Linked DNA regions of Tamandua tetradactyla. The protein of the gene in region 3 purifies or fractionates together with the protein of the main gene of each other region. This does not show direct contact. Links are inferred from orthologs where the notes say so. Each region holds a gene or a part of one and is shown on either strand. Other genes may lie near its edges. The genes, in order: THOC2, THOC7, NCBP3 and THOC6.

Region 1 (7,571 bases), on a different chromosome or scaffold from region 3:
GACAGACTCCTACTGCCTCCAAAGAGGAAGCTGGAGAACTCAGAGAAGACCGAGATTATGTCCTGGGGGAGTTGGGTCAGAGTCCCCAGATTTCTAGATATACAGAGTTGCATGAGGACATAGGAGAGGATAACAATGAAGCAAGCAAGAACGAAGGTGAAAACACATGGCCAAGCCTTCTGGTCAATAGCCATGACTCACTAGTCTAGATGGTCAGAGAGGAGAAGTGTTTCCTGGCTGGCTTGCCCAAAGATCTTGCCGGTGTTGAATTCATAGGTTCTTGGGTGTGCCAAAAGAAAGAATTTTAGGGGCACAGCACAGATCTAGCAAGCAGGTAGAAAATTTAAGTACACATGCAAGAAGGCATGTGGGTGTTCTTGCAAGAAAAGAGGCCAGAGGCCAGGGCAGGTCTTAACAAAACCAAGAACATATCCTCTCTATCACCAACCCTACTAGCAGACAACCTACTGCCTATGCATAGGGCTCGATTCAGATCCCCTTACCAGTTCTCTGTGCGCAACTCCTAGTCTGTATGATTTTATTTTAAAGGCTATCAACTTCAACCTTTTTCAGTGGACTGTCCTTAAGTTACTAGAGCCACTTCTTGCCATAAATGTGTGGACACCTGGAAGTGCCTAGGAGTTTATGTTTCTCCCGCAGTAGTCTGTATTCACTGACAGACAGGTGCAAGAGTATGAAAGCCTAACTTTCTTGCTCAAGCTAGACAAATTTTGAGTAATTTATGCTTCAGTTTTCTTCGTGGGATTAGGCAGAGCTTGTAACTTCATTTACAAGCATACCCTTGCTTGGCTTCATCACTTCCCTATACTGTTTTCCCCAGTTCCTTACCTGTCTTTTCTACTGGAAGCATGCAAGTCCTCATTTCAGGGTCTGCTTCTGTGGAACCAGACCTAAGATAGGGCTTAGCACACCATCAGACTGTCCCTTATCCAATCAAGGGCCTAAGCACAGAATCTAACCAACAATCTGGGCATAGTACACATAGAGAAAGGCCATATTTAACTATGGTTCATATACCACTGCCTAGCATCCCACTAGATGGGCCTGCTATGATCATGCAAATAATAATAGCTAATATTTATTGAGCTTTAACTGTGTGCTGGGGGCTCTTCTAAGGATGCATTACCACATATTATCTCATTTATTCTCACAACAGCCCTATGGAAAAGGTACAGTTAAAGGGGAACTATCCTTCCCCACTTCTGATGTTTCCTTTTCAGTAGGGTTGTGATCCCTGCTCCCTTCACTCTCTGCCTCCCTTCACTTCTGCCTCCCTTCGCTCTCTGCCTCCTTAATTTCTCCACTCTTACTTCTACTTCCCTCCTTCAGGAAGTGTGACTTACTTCATGGGTCCTCATGGAAGAAGAGACTGGGTATGTGTAGCCTGGCACCTACCTTTGTATTTCATCTTGGGAAGAGAGCAGATGTTGGTTTAGAACTTGGGCAAGTAAGACGAGTGTGAGTCATTGGGTGACTCCAATCTCAACAGATACTATTAACTTCATTTGACAAAGGATAAAACCAAGCATAGAGAAGTTAATAAGTAACAGAACCTGGGTTCAAACCCAGACAATGCAGAGTTAAGAACGTGGGCTCTGGAATGCTTGGGTTTGAAGTGGGAGAAAATAGGAAAATCAATTGGAAAGGAGAACACCAATGAAAAGCTAAGAGGAGGCAATGAGAGTCCTTATAAATGAGGTGTTGTTCTTACCTAGCCAACAGGTAGTACTAACACATCCCAGTTACCAAACTGGTCATTTCTGCCCCGTGACTTTGACAAGCTGCTACTTCTGGATTACCCCCTCTGATGCCCCCCCCACCTCCTCTTTGGAATTCCAGTTTGAACTTGAAGACCTATCTCTAGCACATGACACAAATAATGAAAGGGCATTTTTCTCTACAGAGGGGCAGTTCAGCCAGAATGGAACCAAGTAGATTGGTTTGGAATAAACAGCCTTAGCATAAAATGCAGAAGTTATCAAGTAGCTTATTCAAAGAACTTTTCTTCATTTGGGATCTTGGAAAACCTTTTGCGTTCATTCTTCTATCATTTTAATTGTTTTTTCTTGTTTTGCTTTTATACGCCTCCTTCTTGGTCCCATTATCTGTTTTCACTGAGATGATGAATAACAAGATTGCTTAGCCTTACAATTACCTAAAACTAACCTATGACTCCATGCATTAGACTGTCAACATTGAGATTACCCAATCCCGAGTCAGCACCCCAGATCTTAGTCCCTGCCTAGTACACTGCTACTTATGAGCCAGTGAGATCACCAGAGAACAGTACTCCCAGCTGTTGAGACAATACCAGGTACTGACAACAAAGAATAGCCAAACCAAAAACAAGAATGCAAAAGACATGATAGTTTTGCAATGTTATAGAGCAAAAAGCCAATTAGCTCTGAGGAATTTCTAATGGAATCATGATGCTATGTAAAAATAGTTCTGCAGTTTCTGGGAGAAGGGAAAACCAAGGCTGGGATGTTTAAAAAGCTTCCAAGGGTATCATTGCACTCAGATCATAGCACATTCCTGGTATACCGAGAAGTATGCATACTGCACTGTTCAGTAGTAAGAAGGAGAAATCATTGTGATACAGTAGCAAGGGAGGCTACAATAGAACAGAAAACTGTAGCTCAGTGAATCTCAACAGCAGTTGATTTCGCCTTCCAGGAGAGATTTGACTATGTCTGGAGACACTGTTGTGGTAACAACTGGTGCTGGTGGCAGCAGGTGTGTTTGTGCATGTGTGTATGTGTGTGCACGAACTACTGAATCTTGGGATAGAGGCCAGGGATACTGTTAAACAGCCTACAATGCACAGGATACCTTCACCTCCTTCCACGCAAAGAATTATCTGTCCCATAATGTCATTAGTGCCCCATTTGAGAAACTCTGCTGTAAATCATACAGTGAATTATACATAAAGAGTAAAAGTGTTCATTTTATCACAGAACTTACACTGTAATGATTTAAAAATTTCCTACAGAGGGTGATGGTACATGTGGGTTCACTATACCATTCCGTTTACTTTGTATGTATTTCAAAATTTCAATGATAATGAAAAGTGAAAAGATCAGAGGGCACTCGTATCTCTGACACTCATAGAAATGGCAATTGTTTTTATGAGCAAATGTCACTGAAACAGAATGGTGTATATTTTCCAGTGGATGGCTTTAAAATTTCAAAGCCAGACAAGATATTGTGACACTAGGTATTGCTGGTGAAAACAATGATTCAACATGTTAGCATTTTCCCAGAACCCATTCTGAAATCAACCTATCCTCTGAACAGTTTTTCAATGCAAACAAACCTGGTCCATTTGGCAAAACTTGCCAAATTTAGAAGACACTAGTTCTAAAGTTCTTTCAGTAACAAAGATACTAGTTCTAAAGTCCTTTCAGTAATATATGTGTGTAGGATTCCTTCTTTTGGTTTGTCTCTAATTTCTAAATTTTCTGCTAAACTGTTTTTTAACTTTTTATTGTAAAATAAACACATTTTTAAAACCTTTTTATTTGGAAATAAATAGGCAATTACATAAATTTACATAATGGATATAATTATTAATATATAATATTTTATCTTAGATTTTTAATCTTAAAATTTCGACTTTAAATTTTAATGATTATATAAACCATTATAATTTATATTAGTCTTTTTCTTTGACAGTTCTCAAGAGTGCAAGTCAGTTACTTTGTAAACTTTCCTTCAATTTGGACTTTTCAGATGTTTTTCTTCCTGATTAAGAGTCATATTATGCAAATTGCTGGCCTGAACACTGCAAAATTAACTAGTGTTTTTGCTAGCAGCTCATCAGGAGACACATGATGTAGTTTTGTCTCATTTCTGGGGATGCTTTCATCATATGATTAGGAAGTGTCCGCAATGTTTTCCCACTGAAAAGTTTCTGTTTCGCCCTTTGAAGTAATAAGTATCTTGGATTATGTAATGTAAATAATTTGTTTCTCATCCTACTTGCGCCCCCTAGTTTTGTCTAAGGTACAAATGATAGCAGTAAACAGGATGTCAGAACTCAAAGCCTACTGTGCTTCCCAGGGCCGATTCTCTTTTCTACACTAGATTGTAACTTTTATATTAGCATGTCTGGCACATAGCAAATGCCTCCCCAATTAGTTTGTTTCTTTTATCCCAGCAGGGGTATGGTAATTCATCTGCTTGTATGTCTGTCTATGTCACAAACTGTGAGCTCCTTGAGGGTAGGCATCATGGCTTAATTCTCTGTCCCCAGTGTCTAGCAAATATTAGTGAATTACTGGTCAGTTGTAGCTATTCCAGAAGAGAAGGGCTACGAGTCGACTGGGGGATGGCATTTTTCTGATCTAAACGGAAGCGACTGCAAGGGTTGCGAAGAGCGCAGCCGGCGTGAGCACTTTGCAAAGAGGCCCACTGGGTTCGGCCATTTGGTTAGCGGCCGGGACGGTTACTGCCGGGTGGGGAGAAAGGTGGGGCGGGAAATAGAAAACCTAAGTCCCAGCTTCCGGCATTCCTCGTGGGCGGTACTCCCCTTTGACCCGTCGCGCGCGTGCTACACATCCGGGCCTCCGCTATTAGCGAAGGGAAGATGGCGACGGCAACTGTGGTCGTTCCCGCAGAGTGGATAAAGAACTGGGAGAAATCAGGGAGAGGCGAATTGTGAGTGTCCGGGTTGGAGGCGAGTGCTTGGTCGGGCCGGGTTCAGGCAGCAGCCTTGCTCTCTTCTGCGGCAGTTGGGGAGGAAGATGCGCCCCCTCCCCCACCCGGGCGGCGGGTGTGGATGGTTAACTAGGAGTTTCGAACTCGGGGAGGAGAGGTGCTCTCAACCGCCGCCGACCTCCTTCTTTCCCTGGCCTCCACGAAATCCCCGCTTCTCGCTGTAGGCTGGCTTCCTTTGGCCTCTTCGCAGGACTCCATTTCGCCCCTGCGGGTCCCGGCGCTCCTGCCCGGTCTTTTTTTGTCCCCCTCTTTGCCTGAGCTCACTTGGCTCCTTTCTCTTTACCGGGGGTGGGGTGCTGGGGTTCAGACTTTTCAGCTCTTTCTGTCCCATTTCTTCACTCTGCCTCCGTTCGACTCCGCAGTTTGGAGCCCGGAGCCTCCTCTGCCCGAAGTCCGAGGAGGGCGAAACGTCCCGGACTCCCTCCCCTCTTCTCCGTTCGCCGCCGCGAAACCCCAGGCTTCGCGAAGAGCCCTGCTTGGCACTTCTCGTCCTCCCGGGGAGCGGTCTCCCGGACTGTCCCGGCCTCCCGTGGCCCTGGACTGCCGCTTTCCTTGAAGACCTACTGACATTTCTTTGCTCCGTCTTTTCACCTTAGAGCCTTTTCGGGTTGGATTCAACTTTCGTCATTAAACGTTTCTTAAACCCCATTTTGTCCTGGGACTGCAATTAATTTTGGCAACTCTCTACACTTCTCCAGTACCTAGGATATCGCTTTTCCTTGAGTCATAAAACTTAATTCTCCCCCCAGTAAGACGGAAAACAAAAATTGACTATACCCATTGCGTCCTCACCCACATTTTCAGCTCGCGCTTTCTCCCTTTCTCCCCGTCTCTCTCTTTCTTGCTCGCTCTCTCGGAAAGAAAAATAGTTTAAACAGCAAAACAAACCTCAGATTTAAAGAAAAATAACTTCGTTTTAATTTCCTTCACTGAATCTCTTAAAAGGTATACCTCAATCCCGTGTGGAATTAACTTGTTAGCCATTTTTGTTGTGGTTGTCTCCACCCTCTTCCATTAGCCAGTTTACCGTTGCTGGTCAAAAGATAAGAATCTTTGGAACTTTATTTCTTGGAACGAAACGCGAGGAACACGTTGCTCGATCTTACGCGCTAATATTGCCAGCCTGTATACTACCCCCCCCCCCCCCCCCCCCCCGCACTGCTTTGCGGAGTCTTAACAGCATGAGCTTTAGAAATGGATTTCCTGAGTAAGCAGCCTTTGTAACTTAACTAGCTGAGTGACCTTGGGTAAGTTCCTTAACCACTTTTAAGTTTCTTCTTGAGTAAATTGGGAGTTACAGTACCCTACTCAAAGGATTGTTGTGAAGACTGAATAATGCCTGTAAAACCCTTAGCATATAGTAAGTGTTAATGTGATGGGTCTTAACAGTTAATATATTGTTGCAACCTATAGATACTTAAACTTCTACAGATAGCTTTTGCACTTAGTCTGTACCACGCAGGTCTCTGACTTTTTCATGTGTAGTTACTCCAGTCTAATGAATGAGAGGTCTTTGAAGTATAGGGACTATCTCTCATATTTGATGCTCCCCTAGCCTCTTCAGCTCATGCTTAGAGCACTTACTGCTGTTATTAATGATAGAGAAATCCATTTGCTAAACATTTGTTTTTAACTGTTAGGGACATTTTCCAAATCCTTGTGCAGGTCAGTCAACAAAAACCAAATCATCATCTTCACCTATATTAAATTAGAATAAGCCAAAAGACTGATAAATCGTTTCAGTATTTTTTTCTTCTTTTACTTTTAAGCCAACTCTGTTGTTTAGGGGCTCTCTGTACATAACTCAGCCTCCTCCTTCCTGCTGCTCTTTTTGACAGTTTTATTATTGTTCCCACTTTAGAATGAAGGGCATTAGGGCTAGAACATGAAATTAAGAACCTTCTGCTTGGCTTCTCACTGGCAGTGATTGAGGAAAAACAAAGTGATGTAGGAGGTCAAAATATTTAGTCAAAATGCAATTTTGGATTCACTTTATGTATATTTACGTGATCCATGCTAGAGTTGCTTAAAAATTGTTATTAGGACTTACATGTATATAGTTATTGTATGACTTTTGGAAAGTGATTTGAATTAATAGTACGTGCAAATCAGTATGGTCTAAAGAGCATTGAAAGTTCTTGGTTGTGTAACGTAGTGAAAGAGTTTTTTTTTTAACTTTTATTAATTAAAAAATTAACAAACAAAACATTTAGATATCATTCCATTCTACATATATAATCAGTAATTCTTAATATCATCACATAGTTGCATAGTCATCATTTCTTAGTACATTTGCATCGATTTATAAAAAGAAATAAAAAGACAACAGAAAAAGAAATAAAATGATAATAGAGAAAAAAAGACTATACATACCATACCCCTTACCCCTCGCTTTCATTTACCACTAGCATTTCAAACTGAATTTATTTTAACATTTGTTCCCCCTATTATTTATTTTTATTCCATATGTTCTACTCTTATGCTGATATAGTAGCTAAAAGGAGCATCAGACACAAGGTTTTCACATTCACAGAGTCTCATTGTGAAAGCTGTATCATTGTTCAATCATCATCAAGAAACATGGCTACTGGAACACAGCACTACATTTTCAGGCAATTCCCTGCAGCCTCTCCACTACATCTTGAACAACAAGGTGATATCTACTTAATGCGTAACAATAACCTCCAGGATAACCTCTCCACTCTGTTTGAAATCTCTCAGCCATTGACACTTTGTCTCATTTTACTCTTCCCCCTTTTTTGGTCAAGAAGTTTCTCTCAATTCCTTGATGTTAATTCTCAGCTCATTCTAGGGTTTTTCTCAGTCCCTTG
Region 2 (6,913 bases), on a different chromosome or scaffold from region 3:
AAAGAGAATGAAGGTGAATGAATCATTTTTTTTCAAGGCTAATTTTGGACTCAAGTTTCTGCTTATCCACTATACATCTATCTACTCTGAAATTTTAAATATAATTACACACAACCACAATACACTCAGGACAAGCTGGGCACGCCAGCTTCCCCTGCATGTGGATACCAGTCTTATCAACTGATAGACAACACTTTACCATGGGAACAAACTGGAAGGCTTTTGCACTTCTAGGACCATATGACTTGGCTGAAGACAACTTTAAAAGGCAAATACTGAAAGGGGAAAAGAAGTGTAACAAATAAGGATTCAGTGGCTGAGAATTCAAATGGAGTTGAGAGGCTACACGGGAGGTCACCCTTAAGCATGCTTCAGTTAGAAATTGGTACCTATCATAACTTGCCAACCCCCTACCAAAACCATTCCTGCTAATCCTAAAGAATACCTAGAGCATTAAATAAGATTCTACAAAGGTACCATGCACTATAGTGACTCTCAAAACCTACAGCCTCCAGATGGGTTCCTGGACCAGATGAGTCCTGAAATGCAGAGGAGCCAACCCTTTCAGAACATCAACTAGTTCCATCCCCCATACCACATTATTGACAGCCCCTTCCAACATGAAAAAGTTAGAATGTAACCCTAACAAGTACTCCTAAAGAGAGGGAGAAAGATCAGAGGTGATGGTGGGGTTTAACAAATCAGTATGAGTGCTGAATCATTATACTGATATTTCTTTTAGCCTCTAGTACCTTAGAGCAGCTAGAAATAAAAACCTAAAATTGTGGAATTGTAACCCATACCAAACTCTGAAATCTGTTCTACAACTAACTGTTGTGATGTATTTTGAAATTCATTGCTTTTATGTATATATGTTACTTAAAGAGAAGGAGTATAACAGAGAAGATAGGATTTAACAAATGAGTAGGACTGCTGAATCATACTGATATTTCTGCTGGTCTCCAGTGTCTTAGAGCAGCTAGAAGAAAAAACCCGAAAAATCGTGGAACTGTAACCCATACCAAACTTTAAAATCTGTTCTATAATTACTTGTTAAAATGTACTTGGAAATTTATTGCTTTTTTGTATATATATTTCACAATTAAAAATTTAACATGACAGGGAAAAAAAGGCAAATACTGGGCACAAAGATCTACTTTTTTTTACTTCTTTTCTTCAAAGAATGATTGTTTTAACTCCCATTTCATTTAATAAAAAGACATTTCAAACTTTTTTGGGCCTTGGACCTCCTGTAGACCCATTCTCCAGAAAAATATATATACACAAAAAGTTTTTATCCCAATTACAGGGAATTCAGGAATCCCCTGAAGCCTATTCACGAACCCCTGGGGATCCATAGATCCCAGGATAACCCTTACTCTAAAGGCACGTTACAAAAACATCTATATTGTTTTACAGGTCCAGGGTAAAGACCACATAGGTAGCTCTCTCGTCATTCTTTGTACTTTCTGACGGCAAATATTAAACCAGCACTCAAATTAACTTCCTGACTACTTTCTCACACTCTCAAAGAAACCAAGAATCTAGTGATATAAGTAGATCATGAAATCTACGGTGATACAAGTTCGAAGCGCAAATCAGTTTTGTTAATAAATTAAAATCTACTTCCATTTCGTTATCTCTGCCCAGAGAAGCCTCCCTAGAAAAGATACATTAGTATGGGATAGATCTTGAGTCCTTCCTACCTCAACATTGAGTTATGTAAAGTCGGTTAATTCATAACCGATAATATGAAAAGGCCACTTCTAAAATTTCCTAGTTGTTCCCTCACTATATATGATGTGAAGGAAGGGCAATTACAAAAGGTCTTAAATGGTCAAAACAAAGCTCTGTGTCCATACATCTATGAGTTAAGTTATGTGGCTGACAAAACAGGTAGTTAAAAATTCATAACAGTTCAAATTATGATGTGCTTCCCACTACGTGAGTCAAGAACTTTCAAGAATATTTATTTTCAGAAATACCTCAAACTTCAGTCTCTCCAATTAATCTCGTTACTTTAGAAAATTACTAACACTATTCAACAAAATTATAAGCCACAAAATGAACTTATAAATGTTTGACCAGGACTCCATCTACAAATGACTGGTTCACGAAATATTAACAGTTACAGGAAACAAGTGATATGTTCCTATAAAAACATTAAAGATTATTTTAAATCTCTAGATAATGTTTCAAAATCAGTATTATGATCAGATCAAGTAACAAGTCACTTAAAATTTAACACATTATAACACCATTTGACAATTACCTTTTCAACAATAACCATCATTAAAATGCCACTCAGGACAGACAGATAGTCAACTGACACTTCCAATTTACAGTCTGTAGTACTTAAGATTTCAAACAAGCTATTCTGTGGGTTAGCATGTCCTCTCTCCTAAAATCAAAGAACTGAACAGACTTACGCCAATTATTATTTAAAGCCAGAGGTTTCACATCCTAACGGTCAAGTTAAAACCTCAGAATCTTCACTCAATGTAATTCTTGCCTTTGTGCCAAAAGTTGAAGGCCCTAACTCTTGAGAGCATTATAAATGGCATTACTGAAGTTTCTGGCCTGAAATACATGAAAAAAATGTTACATATACTGATTTCTACCTAGAGGTAAAAGGCACTTCACTGCCATACATTTGCATTTAACGATTCTTCCTTTTCGAAAAAACTGAGGGGAAATGAAGAGTATGAATCCAACTTTAGTAAGGAAAGGAAACAGCAAAATTTATCCTGCGCCAACTGCTTCATCCTCAGATAAAGAGACAGGGAGCTTGGGAGGTAAGAATATTGGAAAATAATGATATGGCTTATTTAACATGTCAAACCTGGGTTCAAAACTCAGACATGCTTCTTGTGGTTAACTGTTCTCTATTCCACTGGAGGTCAAGAATCCGCTTTATCGGTGCCTGTTCCCTGACCGGCCTCTCTCACCAAGTAAATGTTGGAATTTACCGCAAACTCATTCAAGTTGAATCAAAGTGACTCTGGGAAGAGATGTCAGTATAATTTGCCGTGTACTCCGGAAATGTCTAACTCTACACACAAGGCAATATTTCTCATTGACACTCCCCCTACCCCTACACTTAAAACTTCCCCCTTAAGACGAGGACAGCCAGCGAGACAATTTTTTGAAAATTAAAGAAAATATAAATAAATAAATACATGCACCCTATCCAGATCACCGACGAGATTCTGGCTCTGTTGCGGAACTGCGTGCGGGTGCGGGATGGCAACCACGCAACGATCCTAGTCAGTCGGCAGAACTCCTCCGGAGGACAAGTTTCTCCGTCCTTTTTCCCAGCACCGGCCCGAGCCCAGGGAGGAAAGGGGTTGCAGCAGGGACCCGACCGCCCTACCTGGAACCCTGGGCCTTTCGTGATCTCCAGCCGCGCCCGGTGCAATCCCTACGCTTGAGACCCGCCCGGGCGTGCGTGGGCGCCAACTTCGGCGAGACCCTCGCGCCGCGCCCCCCTCGGTGCCTCGCCCAGCTCCAGCGCTCCCCGTCCCGCCGCCCTCCCCACCTCACCCCAGGAAGCGAGCGCACCCCCCGCAACAGCCTGGACGGGGTGGGGGAAGCAGGGTCCACTTCTCCCAGAATGCTAGAGGGGCCGCACCCCGACCCCAGTAGTCCCGGCGCGCCCCCGCAGCCCGGGCGGCGCCCGGACTGGCTCACCTGGCGGCTGGCTGCGGCCTCCGGAGCGGCCTCTGGGCGTGGGCCGGGAGGGGGCAGAGAGGGGGGCGGCGGGGGCTGGGACTCCAGCCGGGGCCGCCGCCGCCCGCCTGGCCTAGCCCGCACACGCGCCGGCCGCGGCAGCTCCCGGGGGGTACCGGGAGCGCGGGGAGCGCGGGTCCCGCGGCGGCGGCGGCGCGGCTCAGGCGTCGGAGCTGGCGGCCGCAGGCGCCGCCGCCTCCTCCTCCATGGCTGTTTACCCGGCTGCATTGTGGGAGTTTGACCTCCGCCGCCGCCAACCGCCGCCTCAGCTTGCGCCGCCGCCGCCGCCGCCGCCGCCGCCGCCGCGCACGCCATGGGAGCCGTGACTGACGGTGAGGCCGGTTCGCCACCACCTGGGCCCACTCCCCGGAGTCCTTCGGTCTCCGTGGCCGCTTCCGGGAGTTCTTCGGCCTCCCGGGTCGGACCCCTCGGAGACCCTGGCCTCCAGGCCTCTCCCCGGAGCCTCTCGGCCTGATCTCCCCGGAGGCGGCGCCGGGCGTGAAGAGGGTGTGCTGGGAAGGTCGTCGGGGGATAAGAGTACACATGGGGGCCGAGGAGGCTGGGAGCTGTGTGTGGGCTGGTGGTACCGGGTGGGGTCCGGGTTGAAGAAGGATGTGGTAAGGGAGCATTGACGGGGTAAGGTAGGTTCACGGAGCGCCGAAGTGGAGGGTGGAGGGAGTTGGTGAAAGGCTTGATACCACGGGTCCCGGAAGGCCTGTGGGGGGAATGGGAGGATGTGGGAGCTCCAGGGATAGGGCGGGGGCTTCTGGGCAACCTGGGAAAGAGGGGTGGGTTCCAGGTCATGGGTATTAGGGACGTCTGGATACAGAGGGTGACACGTGGAGGAAGGAGTTTTCTGGGCAGATCGGAACGGCCCCCAGACAATGGATCGCAATGAGATCTGGGAACTGCATGTGAATTTGGGGTGGAGAGGGGGAGATGGGAACATCAGCTAAAAGGGATATGTGAATGGAATATCTGGAGGGCAATCAGGGAATACTTGGGAGCTATGAGAGGCAAACAGCAGATATACAGATGAGGGCACCTACGGTAGATCAGGATAGTAAAGGATGTATGTGTGTCTTGGAGAGGGGAGGTTTGCCAGCTGAATGGATGTGGTGGGGGAGGCAGAGGCTGGGTTCGTGGACAGTTGTGAGGGCAATTTAGGAAAGTGGATCAATTTAAGACGGATCCGGGGGCCATCTACACAGGGAGAGCAGAAATAAGGTAGCACCTTGGGAAAGAGTTGAAACAGGTATGGTGGGCAACTGGGTGGAGCACTCTGGAAGGTATCTGGTTATGGTAGTCCTTTGACATGTGGGATGGGAAATCAGGGGGCCTTTTTAAGGGGACTTAGAAAGGCCCCTTCTGAAAAGTTGGGTACAGTTTAAGGGGCTAGCAATAGAAAGAAGAATGATGAACCCAAATTTGTAGACATTGTAGAGAGTGGTGGAAGTGGGGGGGGCTATGAAAGGTTCAGGAACTTCATGAGGGAGTTTCAACTTTGCTTCTTTTCACTTTCATTTATTCAGTAGATATTTATCCTGCTTGGGCTAGGCTTTAAGATTACAGCCAGAACCAAGAGGCAAGACCTTTTCCCCCTCTTAGAGGTTACATTCAAGTGGGAAAGACATGTGGAATGATTTTTTGGGGGGGAATGGGGGGAGCTGCATGGTCCAGGGATCAAACCTGGGTCTCCCACATGAGATGTGAGCATTCTAACCACTGAACTACCCATGCACCCAGACACATGGAATAATTTTTAAAGGTGGTAAATGTTACTACAGGAGAAGTACAAAATTCGGAAGTATAGAAGCATGTAACAAAAATTGCTTATCCATTCTGGAACATCAGAAAGTCCCTCTCAAAAAGTTATTCTTCATCCCACTGTTAAAGGATAAATACATGTAGTTGGGGGAAAGTGTTCCAGGTGGGGAACCACTTGTGCACAAGCCCCCAAAGTGTTGGAAGAACACCACAATTACTTGTAATGGCCAGAATTTAGAAGCCGTAAAAGTTTTTACACTGGAGTAGTGTGATCAGATTTGCATTTTGTAAAACAACACTCCACTATGAAGAATGGTGAAGGCAAGGGAAAGTGAGGAGCTAAATTAACTCTGTCCTCTCTAACATTTATATAGTATTCATTCCATGTGCCAAGCAGTGTTCTAATTATTTTTCCCACTTTACAAATGAAACTGGGACACAAAGAGGCTATAACTTGCCCAAGGTCACTGGTAGTAAGTTATAGAGCCAGGATTCAAAACTACATAGTCCAGCTCCTGAGTTCTTGCACTTCACTGTTATGTATCCTGTCTTGTAGCTACTGGCAAGAGGTCATGGGGACACAGGCCAAGATAGTCATCAAGGAAATGCAAAGAATTTACAGGTGGGACAGATATTTATGAGGTAGAAGTCAGGACTTAAGTGATCGGGTGGGTGTGAGGGGAGGAGTCAAGGATGACCCCAGTTTCTAGCTTGAGTAATTGTGTGCTTGTTAGTGTTACTTCTCTCTTGAGGTAGAGAACTGCAAAGGAGAGATAGGTTTCGTCAGACAGAAGGGGAGGGAAGATGAATTCTAGTAAACATGCTGAAGCTGTCAAGTACCCCCCACCTTCTTGGAGGCAACAGGAATCCCCCACTCTGCCACTTCCAGGTAGTCTGGCTGTGGGCACGTTAATTAACCTCTGAGCCTTAGTTTCATTTTCTGTGAATGGGGATAAAAAAAAATCTGTCTCTTAAAGTTGTTTGAGGATTAAATGCAGTAAAAACTGTAAACGGCTTTCCATGGAGTTTTATTGAACATTACTATTATTGAACAATAATAGTAATGTTCAATTAATGTTATTAAATATAAGAATTGGTTTATTTATCTCTCCTTCCACTTTCCTTTGATGAGAACTGTGCCTTCTCCGTCTCCTTGTCTGCACAGATTGCCCTCCCCTGCCTTTTCTGCCTGGTGAAATTCCATTTATTCTTCAAGACCCACCTCAGATATCCCCTCTTCTCTTTTCCAGAACCCGTTGGTTTCTTACCTACTAACTACATTACTTTATGAATATTACTATTATGAACTTCCATCCTTAATTTACTGACATGCCTTATTCCAGAAAATATTTAAAGTAGAGCACCATAATGAGGAAACATAAAAGCAACATAAATGGATGAGGAAGCAGCAAAAGGA
Region 3 (7,821 bases):
TTGGTATTTGTCCATCTGTGGAGGCTTCAGCTGGGTGAAGCTGGAGACCAGGTAGGGGACCAGGCCATTGGCTGCCGAGCCTGGCGATTAGTTATCCCATCACAGATGGAGACCAAAGCTGCTCCTGCCTGCTTCCCGGTCGTCCTGCGCAGGTCCCACGAGAGGTTGCCCAGGCTTTCTCCTGGAGAAGGACTGGTGGCCAGGCAGCAGTTCCCTAAACACCAGAGCCAAAAAGTGGGTCTCTTTCCTTCTTTGGCCTCTCAGTTTAAGACCACACCGTCTCTCACATCCTCCTGGTCTCCTGGCCTCTGTCCTGATTCCTTCTGATCCATCCTTTACCAGCTCCAGAGTGATCTTTCTGAAACACCCATCTGACCATGCAGCCCCCACCCCCACCCTCCACCCCAAGCCCCCCATGTGCTCCCCTGGGTCCTCAGCTTGGGTTCTGAGGCCCCTGCCATCTGGCTCCTCCAGCCTCTCGATGCCTCAGGGTTCGTGCTTCACCCACCCACACTCCATTCACTCTCCAGGCCTTTTCAGGCCCTCCATTCCTCCAGCACACTGCCTCCCCCCATCCCCACCTTCCCCCGTTCCTGCCTCTGTTTGTCCAAGCCTTCCCTTCCAAGGCCCGTTCTGCAGTTGTACAAATCCCTAGCATGGTTCACTGAAGCAGTCACCAAACTGTTGGGTCAACAGGCCAGATCGACATGCTTCAGGGCTTTGAAGAGGACCATGGGCCTTCAGTGACCCAGAACCTTCTGTTGATAGTCATTTCCCACTGGGACCCCCACCCAAGAAGCCGCATTGTGGTGGGGAAACTGAGGCCTGTAGAGCAGAGTCACACAGCGAGCCAGGGAAGGGCCGGCTAGAGCCCAGGTCCCCTGCCCACTCGTGTCTTCCCACCATAGCTCCACTCCAGTAAAACTGTGGACCCGACATAAAAGGAAGGACTCCTGGGAAATCAGAGCCGAGATGCACCTCCAGATGTGCCCACATAAGGGAGCCAAACCCAGCTCCACGGGTGCCCAGCAAAGGCTTGGGGGAAAGTGTGGGGTGTGACCTGGAAGGTCCTGGTTTCTCTCAGCGTCTCTGGGCTCTGGGTCCCATGGGCCCTTTGGGATCTCTGTTCTCGGCCACTTTCCCCACCTCCCACCTCCATCATCGTATGTGGTCTCAGCCTAGGGGAGGCGGGGGGTGGTCCAGGCCACTGAGGGTTCCAGCTTTCCCAGGCGATACCCAGACACAGAGTGGGACACATACAAACACCCTCAGATCCTGGAGTCACCCCCACCACACCCAGGTGGGCACACGTGCAGGAGCTCCTCCCCGGGGTAGACACAAGCAGGCCTGTCTGCAGGGCTGCCCTCTGCGGGCGGGTGGTACTGGGCCCTGTGGGTCCGCCGGAGCCTGGGAAGACACCAAGGGGGTCTCACCTGGGGAGCAGAGCCCTGGTGTGTGCGGATTCCTCCACCGCTCCAGCTTCCAGCAGGACCAGACCTCTGAGGCCCCCAGGCCACTCCGTTCCAGGCTTAAAAGCCACCCCCCCTCCACTCTCCAGTCTCCCACCAACAGCAGCCCCTGCTCACACTGAAGAGGCGCCAGGATGAGTCCTAAGGGACTGTTACTTTGGGGGAGGAGGAAGAACCCCTCAACAGCGCCAGAGCTGGAGCGGCTTGAGGAAAGAGGAAAACCAGGTCATTGTGTGTGTGGTTTTAAGAACCAGGGAATGGCCACCAGTGACCGTGGTGCCCAGTGGCCCACGGAGGTGAGGGAAATGTGGAAAGTGAGCGAAGACAGTCATTTCAAGAGTTTGTGGCAGGGATGGGGGGCACGGATACAGCTCAGCCCCCAGGGTTAGCTGCTTCCCCATCTTTATCTGCCATCCTGCACGTGTTCCCAGGATCTTAGATGTGAACTGGAGGGTGGGAGGTGGGATTGTGTGTTGCAGGTTGAAAACCGCATTGTAGACCATCTCTGCCTTCGTGGGCAGTGAAACCCACTTCCAGTCTTCATACGGCATCCATTGTCACCTTTGGAGCTTATATTACCTTTTAATGGCTTCTCCCTTTCTTACCTCAGGAATGGCAGGGTTCAGTTGATTTTATTTCCTTCCTCTCTGGATGGGGAGAGAGAGAGTGGTCAATTTCATTTTTTTTTAAAAAGTAATCTTTCTGAAGGCCCAGCTGATACCCTTCCCCTTCCCCCAACTTTATAACAACTTTGTGCCTCATTCATCAAGCAAAATTAGGTCTCTGAAGGGCTTCATCCTGTGTTTACCCTACGGCTTAGCCCAAATTTGAGAAGCACCCCTTCTATGGATCTATATCTACATGCAATTACCACATTTAATCCTCACACTCTCCATTGGAGGTAGATAATACTGTCCCCTTTTGCCAAGGAAGGAACTGAGTCTCCAAGGTCACACGTGGGCAAGCCTCCCCTTCACAAACTTCTCAGAAAAGTTGTCTGTTTTTCTCGCCTGCCTTCCCCTTCATGGGCATTGTCCGCTCCTGGTAACCTGTGGACAACAGACCACTGGACTCAAGCCAAGTTCCGTTGTGAACTTGAGGTGGCCTTGACATTGATGGCTCTGGTTTTTTTTGAACCCTCTCTCCAGTCTACCCCAATGTCCCACTCTCCTGGTTTCTTCTGCTTATAAAAATCATCCAAACTTTGGAATAGGAAAAAGGATTTCTGGATGTCCTCTCATTGTAGTGCTGAGTGTTTTCTGACATGCCTATTCCATGTGGGGATTATCTGATTTTCCAGGGATGAGTCCCTTCTTTGACTTCCTATTTGCTGTGATTAGGGCATTTTTACAACTCCCTAAGGGTAGAGGTTAATTTATAGAAAATTCATAGCAAGTGATGTAAATGTTTCCGTCTGGTAAAAAAAGGAACCTAGTAGGGCATTAATCTGTCTTGTTAAATTCACTTTGGCATTCTTTTGACCAGCTCCATAAATATCCAGTGCTCAAATTCTCTTTCGAGCTAGTCTTAATATCTCACTAGTGAGCTGAATACAAGCTTTGACATACGTTCATTTTATATTTGTATGAGAGTCATATTTTTAACTTTTTGAAAATTATTCTTTACCACCTCCTAATTCTCCACGGCCACACCTCAGCAGGCTGCACTGAGAGCAGGAGGGATGGGGGTGGGGTGGGGGAGTGGATGTTGTGGTTAGGTGACCAAAAAGGGAAAGGCACAAAGACCTTTCCCGAGGGGCGCTTTAGGAGCCCTGCTGTTTGATTGCCTGATGCCCGGGTTTGTCCTGGATTCTTGATTTACTTGCCTACTAGAGCTCCCCCTGGGGGCCAAACTGCACTGTGCCAGTGCCAGATTCCTCACTGAATTGAATTCTCAAGCAGCCAGGCTTTTCCAGCAGGGAGAGGGACCAGCCCCGCCTTCTCTGCTGGCCTCCTGGTGTCCATAGCTGAAGAGAGATTGTCCCTCCTCTTCTCGCCCCCAGCAGCCTAGAATGCAAATGTAAAGGTGGCCCCATAACTGTCAAACAATGCTGATCACCCCAAGCACAAATTTTCTTTGAACTGTTCTTTAAAATTCACACAAATTTTGCATTCTATCCATTTCATGCCTTTAGATTCAACCCAACTTTCTAACGACTTTGTGTCTCATTCAACAAGCAAAATTAGGTCTCTGAGAAGCTCCATTCTATGTTTGTCCCATGGCTTAGCCCAAAGTTAAGAAAGACCAAATTTAAGAAGCACCCCTTCTGTTGGATCTGTATCTATGTATAATTATCACATTTAATCCTCACAATCTCTGTTGGAGGTGGATAATACTGTCCCCTTTTACCCAGGAAGGAACTGGGTTTCCAAAGGATTGAGTGGCTTGCCCAAGGTCACACATGGTGTGAGGGGCAGAGCCAGTCAGCCCCAACCCAGCTGTGACTGGTGCTGATCACAAGTGCCCTTGATTTAGAATTATTTGTTCCTCCAAGATCAGAGAGGGAAGGGCCCGGAGACCCTAGGGTGCTCACTTACTCTCTCCTCAGATGGGAAAACATGCCCAGAAACTGGCTGGAACCTTCCCAAGCAAGGAAGTTGCAAAGCCGGTATCCAAAGCAAAAAATCAGTGGCGCTGACTGGAAGCCTAGAGAATACCCCCTCCTGCAACCCGGCTCTTTTTAGAAATGTGTGCACGGAAACTACGCTCAGAGGTGTGCAGTAAGTACATCAAGCCCTCAGGAGTCAGGCAATTGAGGTTCAAGCTCTGGCCTTTGGCTAGGCCACTACCTTCATGGAGTCTTAACTTTTGTGTATGTAAAACGGGCTAATTTCGGGGAGACTTGAAAGAGACAAAGGTGGGCAAGGCATATATGGATTGCACAGTGGGGATGGAACAAATGTCATTTTAGGCTCTGCAGCCACACTACCTAGGCCCCGATCCAGGTTTTACCCTCTAATAACCTGTCAGGAAATGGCTATTTTCTATGCCTCGGTTTCCTCACATGTGAAATGGGGATAATAATAGGACCTACTTTGTAGGGTTGTTGTAAAGATTCAAGCGCTTAGAACAATGTCAGGCACAAAGTGACCACTCAGTAAAGTTAGCTTTTAAAAAATCCCAGACTACGAGTCTTCAGGCCCCGCCCCCTCAGCAGGTCCTGCTCCCTCCTCACCAGGTCCCGCCCCAGCCTGCCCCAGGTTCCTCCCACCACCAGGTAGCGACCGCGCTGAGGGCCGGCCTCTGGACGAAGCAAGTGACACTCTAGGTAGCGGCGGTGGCTCCTCTGTGGCCGGTGGTGGCGGCGCTCTAGCCGGCGGTTGTGCTGGGCGGGTGCTCAGTGGTGCGGCCGGCGGGCGGCGATGGCGGCCGTACGGGGCCTGCGAGTGTCGGTGAAGGCTGAGGCCCCGGTGGCGCCGGCTCTGGGGCTGCCGTCGCCTGAGGCCGAGCCCGATTTGGAGCGTGGAGAGCCGGAGCCCATGGAGGTGGAGGAGGGCGAACTGGAGATCGTGCCGGTGCGGCGCTCGCTGAAGGAACTGATCCCGGTACCGGCGGGGGGCGGGGGTCGAGGGGGAGGTCGCAGAGGGAATGGTGGCGCCCGAGGGGGCCGGAAGGGGAGGCGGCCGGCTCCCGGGCGGAGAGAAGCCGAGGGAGGGGAAGCGAGGAGAGCGAGCGCCGGGGGGGAGGGGCAGGGGCGCCAGGTTTGAGGGGAGTGGGGGCGCTAGAGAAAGGACTCCAGTGCGGCCGGAAATGGGTGTTGGGGGGCTGGAGGAGGTGGGACAGAGCTAGGGAGTTGTTGTGGACACCCCCTTAGCTACCTCTCCGAGCCAACGAGTAGGAGCTGGAATTGTCTGTGGGAGCTTCAGATTAATGGGGACCCCGGGGCGAGAACAGAACCTGGAGCGGCCCAGAAGGGACTTTTGGGTGGCACCGACATTCAGGTCTCCCCGTGGGTCCTGGCTCTGGTGTAGTTAAAAATGGCACTCTGTCTCTCTCTTGGGAGGGTTGGATTTGTCAGCAGCAGAGACTCACTGTGTTTTCTATTGTGACTTGAGGGTCATTTTGCCTCAGGGCAGTTCCACTGCTGTGTAGAACCCACACCGCAGCCCCAGCATCTGATCCTTAATGAAACTGAAGTATCGGGACCATTAGTGCTCTTTGGATCCTTTTTATCTCATGGGGATAGTGAGAAAGGTGTTTTGCTTGTGGTTTGGTAGTTATATGCCCGGTTCTTACTGCTGGTCTTAGCTCTGGGTGGCTCTTACCCAGTACTTGATTTCTAAGCTAACAGGAGCTACTTTTAATCACATTTCAGCAAGTCTTGCTTTTAAACTGAAGTTATGGAAAAAAGTCAAGATGGAATCACTAGAGATAAACACTAGGGCTTATAGGGTAACTACAATTAACATAATAGCATTTTGCTTTTCACTACATTGTATCGTTTAAATTTCCCTGTAGTTGTGAAGTAGGTTTTAGCATCCCTTCAGTCATTCAATTCACCTGTGTATTTATTGCATTCTCAACTATGTGCTAGGCACTGTCCTAGGTGCCTGGTCAAGATCAAACTCCCTCCTGATTGGGGAATACACATAATAAACAAGTAAACAAATAATTTCTGATAATGGTAGGTGCTGTGAAGAAAATAAATCATGATAGGGTGGTGCAGCTGTGGCTCAGTGGCAGAATTCTCGCCTGCTATGCTGGAGACCTGGGTTCGATTCCCAGAGCCTGCCCATACCAAAAAAAGAAAAAAAATAAAAGGAAATAAATCATGATAATGGGATAGAGAGTGCAGGGGTTGAGGGTGGGGTGTGGAAAGTGGGAAGTAGAATATGATAAGATGGTCAGGGAAGCACTCTGAGATAGTGACAATAAACTGTACTGTAAATGAACCAGCCATGTACAGATTTGGAAGGGAGCATTTCTGGGCAAGGAATGAGGGGCATCAAGTGCAAAGGTTTTGAGATGGGAACAAGGTTGCTTTGTTGGAGAAATGGAAACTTCTGTGGTACAAATGGGAGAGTAGAAACACCTTAGGAAGATAGGCAGATACCATGGAGGAAATCGAGGCCCAGACAGGTCAAAAGAATGATACAATGTCAGTGTCAGTTGATGGAGTTACTTAAAGTTTTGGATAAGCTCTGATCTAGAAAGAACGCTTTAGAGTGGTTGATTACTAACCTTGATGTCACAGGGACAGGCTTCCTCATAAGGGGATGTCTGGGGTTGGGGAGGGGTTGCTGGAAAGAATGACTATCTGAAAGGAATCTGTTGTTTGGCATTCTTTTATCATGGGTATTTTTCTCAGTTGCTGTCAGCGTTTCTTACCCTTCTCTTTTGTATTAGGACACAAGTAGAAGATACGAAAACAAGGCTGGCAGCTTCATCACCGGAATCGATGTTACCTCTAAGGTAAGACAGAACATGATTTATTTATTCAGTTTGATAAGTGAGTGTACTTGAACTTGATTCTTAGGACATGCAGAGCAGTAATTATTCTTTACCTCATTTTTTGTGTGTTATTGGATTAATTTTTTTTAAATTTGTGTTACACACCGTGGCCCTTTTACAGCCTGCACACCTCCAGCGTTATTTGTGTTATCATACCCACAAAAAGATAAAACCACTATAGCTAGATGCTTGTGCATAACCATTTCGAAGAAAAAGTTCTGCACTGGGAATGCTTTTTTATGCCATGTTCTTTCTTTAAGAATGTATTCTGTTTCCATTTTAAATAAAACAAAACATGAAAAGTGTCTGCCTTTGTTGTCGACCCTTAGTAAATGTCTTTATTCATCACTGGCTGCAGGCTTAGAAAGATGGGCTTCATGATTGTGTGACTGTCTAACCTTAGATTCTGAGGGTATTCTCAAAATAACTATAAGTATTGCCTTTTATTGGTGTTTGCTGTAAACTAAATTACCAGCAGCTCAGAGAGACAAACCTGTTATTTTCCTTATCATAAACGGTAGATACCTATTTGTTGCTTTGATCAGTCGTATTCAGCTTAGCCATTTTTTCTGTTTTGATGTGTGCAATTGAGGTAGGAACAGAATCAGAATAGCATTCTGAATAATAGTACTGTATTGCTATACGCTATGCATAAAAGCAAAAATAAAAATTAAATATGTCATGCTTATCTACTTATATTTCATCCCAGTCTCAATCAGTCTCGGATTGCTTAAAGGCCAAAAAAAGAGCAAGCAGAAAGTAGAATAAAGTGAAAATGTTTTCTCATTGTCATGGAAAAAGAAGACTGTACTGTTTTTAATTCTGTACAGTTTGTCATTGTATGGGAAAAGATTGGTAGCTCGAGTTGGTGCTTAAGTCTACCAAAGGAAGGTAGATTAGT
Region 4 (6,833 bases), on a different chromosome or scaffold from region 3:
GCAGGCGGTGTTTGCTGATCGACTGTCTAAGCGCGGCGCGTGGGGCGGGGCGCCTGGAGCCCGGCGGGCGCGGGCGGGGCGCTGGCCGGAGACTCCGCCCCGGAAGGCGGGGGCGGGGCGGGGCGGCGGCGGCTGCGAGGCCCCGCCGGCGGGCGGCGGGAGCAGACGGCGGCGGCCGCGGGACGCGCACCATGGCTAGGTACTCGCTGCACCGGCTGCTGCGGCTCCTCGTGCTGGGACTCGGGCTCGCGCTGCTGGGTGCGGCGGCCGGGGAGCAGGCGCCAGGTATGCCGGGCGCGGGGCCGGGCTGGCGGGAGTGGGGCCCGGGATCCGGAAGCCGGGATCCGGGGCCAGGCAGGACCGGGCAGAACCCGGGGACCAGGCGGACGTGGAGGGGATCCGGGACCAGGTGATCACTAAGCACCGCGCGCCCTGGCTGGGGGAGGTTCCATCCCCGTCCCGAACTCCATCAGCAGTACCGGCCTCAGTTTCCCCGCCTGGGAGAGCGGGGGGGAGGGTTCGGTTCTGAAAGTCGGGACTCGAAGAGGAAAGTTTGGGGGCGGGATGTCTCCTGCGGAAAGGGAGCACGCCCCCGGCCTGGCGGTCCCTAGGGGGTCGGCCCGGTCCCAGTGACGAAAGAGGGGGGCGGTCGAGAGCCATGGGGGTCTGTGCGCCCCTATGCCATGTGGGGGTGCCCCCTTCCGTCCGGTGACTTCAGGGCCTAGCTATGCGGGGGGAGGGGCTGGGGTCGGGCCCAGCGCCCGGGAGTGACTCACCCGCCGCCGGGGGTGGGGGTTGTGGGGGACCTGACCCCCCCCAGCGGCCCGCGCCGCGGCTCCCCCTTCCCACTGCCGCCGTGTCCCGGTCGGGCCGTGCGGTCACCTGTGAGGAATGCGACGGGGGGAGAACGCCGGTGACTCACGTTATTCGAGCCGGCGGACCCTGACCTCAGCCCCCAGAATAGCCGCGGCCCGCCTCCAGCCTCTGACCCGCGCCCCCTCCCCAGGCGCCGCCCCCTGCTCGCGCGGCAGCTCCTGGAGCGCGGACCTCGACAAGTGCATGGACTGCGCGTCGTGTCCCGCGCGGCCGCACAGCGACTTCTGCCTGGGCTGTGAGTGGGGGGCGGGGCCGGTGACGGGGGGGTCCCCGGAGTGGGGGAGGGGTGCCGGGGAGGACGGGGCGGAGGCCTTCGGAATTGGAGGCCGAACTGACCGGGGAGAGGTGGGAGTGGGGAAGGGGCTCTGAGCAAGGAGGGGCGGCGATCGGTGAAAAGTGTGAGGTGCAGGTCGAGGGGAGGGCTGGGGCGCGAGGTGACACGGGGGGAGGGGGGCGCGGTCTGACCAGGCCCCGCCCCCAGGCGCGGCGGCCCCTCCGGCCCCCTTCCGGCTGCTGTGGCCCATCCTGGGGGGCGCCCTGAGCCTGGTGCTCGTGCTGGGGCTGCTTTCCGGCTTCCTGGTCTGGAGACGGTGCCGCAGGAGAGAGAAATTCACCAGTGAGTGTGCCCTGTCCCTCCCCGCCCGAGCCCCTGCGCCCCGCGGTCTTACCCCGTCTCACCACAGCCCCTCTTTTCTTGCAGCCCCCATCGAGGAGACCGGCGGGGAGGGCTGCCCCGGCGTGGCGTTGATCCAATGAGAGTGACACCCCTGCCAGCCCGGGCCGCGCGCGGCCATCATTCATTTCACTCATTCATTCTGGAGCCAGCCCCCACCCTACCCCCCCAATGGGGGAAGGGGCGGCCGACAGGTTGGGGGAGGTGCCACCTCTCCAAGGCCTGAGGCCGGGGGTCACTGAGGCCTTTTGAGGTGTCTGATGGCCTTGTCTTTGGCTCCAGGACAGAAAAGCTCCATCCTGGCTTACCCAGGACAGCCGACACTAAGGACCTGCAGCATTTGCACACGGGGAGGGAGCGCCCCCATCCCGTACCCTGGGGGGGCCTGGCTGGCTTGAGGGGCACATACAACACTAGGCCCACCCTACGCGGACGTATGAAGCTCCACCACGGGGTCTCAGCCGCGGGCTTAGGGACCTCTGTTCTTGACACTAGGGGCTGGCCCTCTAGGGGGGCTGGCTCTAGGACACTGCCCCCACCAGCCCCCAAGGGAGGGGAGATATTTATTCGGGGGGGGGAGCGTGTGTGCGGGGGACGATAGAATTTATTAATAAAAGAATCTTTAACTTTAAATGGGTCGGAGAGTGGAGAGTGGCATGATCCTCGGGCTGGCTCCGGCACCAGAGGGAGGCGGTGGGGGTGAGTCAGCCGGCGCGGGGGCGGGGGCGGGGCTCTGACTCAGGCATTCTCAATGCCTGAGCCCTGCCTGCCAGGGGCTGGCCGGCGGGCCCGTTTTCCAGGGATGATCTTGAGAGAAACCCCAGCATCCCGCGTGCCAGCCACCCCCACCCCTCCCCAAAGTTCTGGGCTGCCAGAATGAAGCCTTCGTTTCCTCGTTTCCTCGGTAGTCTTTATTCAGTTCTCCTGGGCCGGAAATGCCTCCTTCCCGGTTCTCCTGCCCCTCCCAGCCCAGGGCTCCACGGGGCTCCACAGGGCTCAGGGACTGTGTTGGGGGGACAATCCTGGTGCCCAGAGGCTTGGCCTGGCCTGGAGGGGGGCAAGCAAGGCTGTTGGTCCTTTCAGGGGGAGCACTCAGAACTCCATTCCGTCTCCAGAAGGGGTAGCAGGATAGTGGGGGCTGGGGGTGCCCCCCAACCTCAGCAGCCGCAGAGCTTCAGGAATCAGGTTCCCAGGATAGCGCCAGAGAAGCAGCTCAGAGCAAGGGCTCCTGAAAGAGGAAGTTACAGTGTCAGGGCATGGGGCAGAGGCTGACCTAGAAGAGCCCCCTCCCACCAAGCCCTGGTCCCCAGGGGCCTGTGGCACCTTCCAAGGAGCAGAAACAGACACAGTGATCAGCTAGGAGCTAAAAATAGCAGAATGAGGCAAGGCCTGGAGGTTGACTCTGAGGACGGGGTTTGATCCCGCACGAGGGCCAGCCTTTGGGATTGCCTACCTGAGTGGGGTCAGGGCTGGGGGAAATGTCATGGGGGGGCTGCAGTAGGGGTGGTCATTGTGCAGGCTGAGTCGAGAGAAGTGGGTGGCCATGTTCTCCTCGGACAGGAACTGCTTGCGCAGGGGCTCCCTGGGGGAAAGAACGGGGAGCACGTGGGCTGGGGTACAGGGAGGAGAGGCGGCCTGATGGCCTGAGGAGGCAGAGACCTTGCTGGGAGTGCCTCCCTGACCCAGGACTCACGGCTCCTCCTCCAGGCGCCGCTTGGTGCTCATGGGCATAGATCGGAGAGGGGAGCTGAGAAGAGAAGAGAGCCTGGTGCACCCCATCCTCCCGGCCCCATCTCGAGGAGCGGCCCACCTGAGTCTGCAGCGTCAGCCAGGAACCCCGAGCCCCATCTCTCGCCAGAGCTGACACCCAAGTCACTTCCCTCTCCCGGGCCATCCAGCAGGGAGGTCTCGGCCCTGGGTCCCCCAACTCCTTCCTCGCCTCAGCTCATGCCCAAGCCCCGCGAGCTCCCCCCGCCGCGAGTCCTTCAGCAGCCCAGCCCTGAGCCCCCAGCCAAAGCCCCGGTGCTCCCAGGCCAGGCCCGCCCCGGGCCCCCCCACACACACCTGGCATCCAGGCTCCGAGTCTCCCCCGAGGCGGCCCGCAGGTCGCGCCGGGCCCGACCAGGGGGGCCTCGCTCCAGTGGCTGCTGCAGAATCATCGGGGCTCGGGGGTTTCGCGTGCCGGGGGGGGGGGGCCGACCCTCCGAGGGCGTGGCCAACGCGAGAGGCGTGGCTTTGGGCGCGCGAGGCGGCGAGGTTCCGCGCAGGCGCGGGTGTCCGGCGGTGCGCGGCTGGCTGGCGGGCCTGCTCGGCCGGTGGGGGAGGGGGTCCGGCGTGGCGGGACTGCGGTGGGTGCCACGCGGTGCCGCGAAGCTTTCCGGCGCTCACCTCGGCTCCCGGGGCTTGGGGCGGTGCACGGCGGCCGCCTTCGCGCTGAGCGGGCAGAGGTTGGGGCGGTGGGGCGCGCGGAGAGCAGCCGCTCACGGGCACGTCCGGTCTCGGGAGGCCGCGTAGTGCTCGAGGTGCTCTGGGACTTGTAGTCTTCGAGATGGAGCGGGCCGCGCCGCACGCGGTGCCGCTCGGTCAGGTGAGGCGGGCGCGGGGCCTCCTGGGGTTTGTAGTCCAGGCCTGATTCGGACGGGGCGGGCGAGGAATCGCGTCCTGGACGGGGCTGTTTGTTGGACTGGAATTCGCACCCGGGGGTTCGGGGCGAAGAGGAACCTGTTAGTGCTGCGGAAGGGCGTGTAGAGGGGGCGCACCTAGCATGGCAGTCATGTTTGGGGGGCGAGTTAGAAGTCGGTGTGTTATTATACTGCTGCATCTCGGGTTATTTCCCTGGAACCAGAAAATAACTGCCGCAATCCATTAGTTAATAATGGCTGTATGGGGGTCATTTATTGCTTAGTGTAGATAAAATATAATGCTATGGCTTAATATACGTAAAGTCTTTGCATGATACCTAGTACCCAGTTTGCTCTCACTAATATCATTTACCTGATATTTTGCAGTTTGTTGTCTGGTCTTCTAGATGTTGAGATATCCCCAAGTGCCTTTAATCTTCTACAGAACTCCCTAGTCTTTTTGTAGTAATTTACATTTGAGAGGTGGGCAGGCAACGGTCGCTCAGTGGCAGAGTTCTCGCCTGCCATGCTGGAGACCCGGGTTCGATTCCCGGTGCCTGCCCATGCAAAAAAAAAAAAAAAGAATTGAGAGCTGCCTTTCACTGTGGTGTGAAAACATCAACACTGTATTTTTTTATTGCATTAGTGAATAGATGTTGAATTTACTTTCCATTGTGATCAAAGAATGCTTTTATTTTAGAAAACTATTAAAAAGGAATTCCTAAGCAAGCTTATTCTCTTTAGTGACCCCTTTAAACAAAGATCAAACAAAAAACCCTTCTCTCTAAACCAGTTTTTCGTCATTGTGATAAGCATATGTATATGTGTAACTAAATTATCACTCAACTATATAAAAAAATTATTTCTAACCAAAGAAAAAAAAAGTCAGTGTGTTTTCCTGTGGTGGTAACAGCCCCTTTTAAGCACTTTCTGTGTGGCAGTGTCTTATATACGTCAGCTCCTCTTATCGTGACAAAACCTCCCATGAGTCCCATTCGACACTTTTGTGGAAATCCAGAGGAGAGACAGGCTGGGGCGTGCTCAGGGTCCCACTGGGCTGCACACCTGACCCTTCCTAACTCACCTCTTGGAGCTGGCCTCCGGGCCCTCTGGGCAGGTGCCCTCTTGGAGGGTTGGGTCCCTGGAGGGCCGAGAAGCGTGGGCAGGGGGCTGCTGGGCTAGTGGAGGTCCCAGAGGGCCTCAGCCAGCTTCTGCCCACAGGTGGAAGTGTTTCAGGCCCTGCAGCGACTCCACATGACCATCTTCTCCCAAAGCGTCTCGCCCTGCGGGAAGTTCCTGGCGGCTGGCAATAATTACGGGCAGATCGCCATCTTCAGGTACCCACGACCCCTGTACCCCAGCACCTGTTCACCCTGGCATGTGGCCTTACTGGGACTGGTTCCCCACACCTCTGGCTCTCTGGGTTCCCTCCCCTCTTCCCTTCAGCTTGTCGGCTGCTTTGAGCTCAGAAGCTAAAGAGGAAAGTAAGAAGCCAGTGGTGACCTTCCAAGGTGGGTGCAGCTGCCGGCTCTGGCTTTGGGGACCCCAGGGTGGAGGGGGTAGCAGGATAGGGTCACTGAGGTTTTGCATCTCCCTCTAGCCCATGATGGGCCCATCTACAGCATGGTCTCCACTGATCGACATCTGCTCAGTGCTGGGGATGGGGAGGTAAAGGCCTGGTTTTGGGCCGAGATCCTCAAAAAGGTGAGCATGAGGCTGGGGAAGGGCTGGGGTGACCAACCCCAGAGAGGGCCTCTTAGGTCACCTGGTGTTTTCCCGCCATAAAGGGCTGCAAGGAGCTGTGGCATCGTCAGCCCCCCTACAGGTGAGCCAGGTCAATGGGGCGGGGGTGAGTGCGGGCACAAAGGTACCGCCTGTCAAAGGTGACCACTTTTCCTCTCCCAGGACCAGCCTGGAGGTGCCCGAGATCAATGCGTTGCTGCTTGTCCCCAAGGTCTGAGGCCCTTCAGCCCGCTCTGACCCTTCGCCCTGCCCTGTTCTTGGCCCCAGCTTTGATCCTTTGCCCTATCTCTGCCCTGACTTGTGATTGGCTTCCGGCCCCGCCCTGCCTTCCTCTGCAGGAGAATTCCCTCATCTTGGCTGGGGGAGACTGCCAGCTGCACACTATGGACCTTGAAACCGGGACTTTTACGGTAAGCTGGGCTCGGGGGGGGGGGGGGGGGGGGGGGGCCTCTTCCCGGGCCTGCCCTGACGTGGTCGTCTCCGGGCAGCGGGCCCTCCGGGGCCACACAGACTACATCCACTGCCTGGCGCTACGGGAGAGGAGCCCCGAGGTGCTGTCGGGTGGCGAGGATGGGGCTGTGCGGCTTTGGGGTAAGGAGGTGGCTGGGTGGAGGGAGAGATGGGGGCGCGCTGGGGTGAGGACGGCGCCTGTCACTGTTCTCTCTGCATAGACCTCCGCATGCCCAAGGAAGTGCAGACCATCGAGGTGTACAAGCATGAGGTGAGGGCACGTGTCCCGCGCCCCCCCACCCTCCCTGTCCCCAGGCACCCCCTAGGTCTTCACCCCTCGCCCCCTTCCTTCCCAGGAGTGCGCCAGACCCCACAACGGGCGCTGGATTGGGTGCCTGGCCACCGACTCCGACTGGATGGTGAGTGGGGCCCAGTGCAGCATCGGGCAGGGGGTGAGGGGACGGCTGTGG

The links.
Region 1: the proteins of NCBP3 (region 3) and THOC2 purify together in Homo sapiens (co-immunoprecipitation; 3 studies listed by BioGRID and IntAct, with this or other methods). This does not show direct contact. The link is inferred for Tamandua tetradactyla from reciprocal best matches to the Homo sapiens genes NCBP3 and THOC2.
Region 2: the proteins of NCBP3 (region 3) and THOC7 purify together in Homo sapiens (co-immunoprecipitation; 3 studies listed by BioGRID and IntAct, with this or other methods). This does not show direct contact. The link is inferred for Tamandua tetradactyla from reciprocal best matches to the Homo sapiens genes NCBP3 and THOC7.
Region 4: the proteins of NCBP3 (region 3) and THOC6 purify together in Homo sapiens (co-immunoprecipitation; 3 studies listed by BioGRID and IntAct, with this or other methods). This does not show direct contact. The link is inferred for Tamandua tetradactyla from reciprocal best matches to the Homo sapiens genes NCBP3 and THOC6.

Annotation. Positions count from the first base shown.
Region 1 is NC_135353.1:41,986,735-41,994,305, forward strand, and holds the start of THOC2 (THO complex subunit 2), read left to right. Parts: upstream 1-4,566; 5' UTR 4,567-4,609; coding exon 4,610-4,680; intron 4,681-7,571. UniProt on the Homo sapiens protein: Component of the THO subcomplex of the TREX complex which is thought to couple mRNA transcription, processing and nuclear export, and which specifically associates with spliced mRNA and not with unspliced pre-mRNA.
Region 2 is NC_135341.1:20,808,274-20,815,186, forward strand, and holds the start of THOC7 (THO complex subunit 7), read left to right. Parts: upstream 1-3,898; 5' UTR 3,899-4,042; coding exon 4,043-4,061; intron 4,062-4,089; exon of another isoform or gene 4,090-4,236; intron 4,237-6,839; exon of another isoform or gene 6,840-6,913. UniProt on the Homo sapiens protein: Component of the THO subcomplex of the TREX complex which is thought to couple mRNA transcription, processing and nuclear export, and which specifically associates with spliced mRNA and not with unspliced pre-mRNA.
Region 3 is NC_135332.1:57,853,459-57,861,279, reverse strand, and holds the start of NCBP3 (nuclear cap-binding protein subunit 3), read left to right. Parts: upstream 1-4,810; 5' UTR 4,811-4,831; coding exon 4,832-5,014; intron 5,015-6,815; coding exon 6,816-6,881; intron 6,882-7,821. UniProt on the Homo sapiens protein: Associates with NCBP1/CBP80 to form an alternative cap-binding complex (CBC) which plays a key role in mRNA export. NCBP3 serves as adapter protein linking the capped RNAs (m7GpppG-capped RNA) to NCBP1/CBP80.
Region 4 is NC_135349.1:54,444,654-54,451,486, reverse strand, and holds the start of THOC6 (THO complex subunit 6), read left to right. Parts: upstream 1-3,826; 5' UTR 3,827-4,097; coding exon 4,098-4,136; intron 4,137-5,391; coding exon 5,392-5,507; intron 5,508-5,616; coding exon 5,617-5,681; intron 5,682-5,770; coding exon 5,771-5,874; intron 5,875-5,957; coding exon 5,958-5,995; intron 5,996-6,075; coding exon 6,076-6,124; intron 6,125-6,251; coding exon 6,252-6,323; intron 6,324-6,401; coding exon 6,402-6,504; intron 6,505-6,584; coding exon 6,585-6,634; intron 6,635-6,719; coding exon 6,720-6,782; intron 6,783-6,833. Other genes in the region: TNFRSF12A (tumor necrosis factor receptor superfamily member 12A), read left to right, coding at 192-285, 1,007-1,111, 1,358-1,492, 1,577-1,632; HCFC1R1 (host cell factor C1 regulator 1), read right to left, coding at 2,642-2,777, 3,003-3,131, 3,243-3,296, 3,614-3,708. UniProt on the Homo sapiens protein: Component of the THO subcomplex of the TREX complex which is thought to couple mRNA transcription, processing and nuclear export, and which specifically associates with spliced mRNA and not with unspliced pre-mRNA.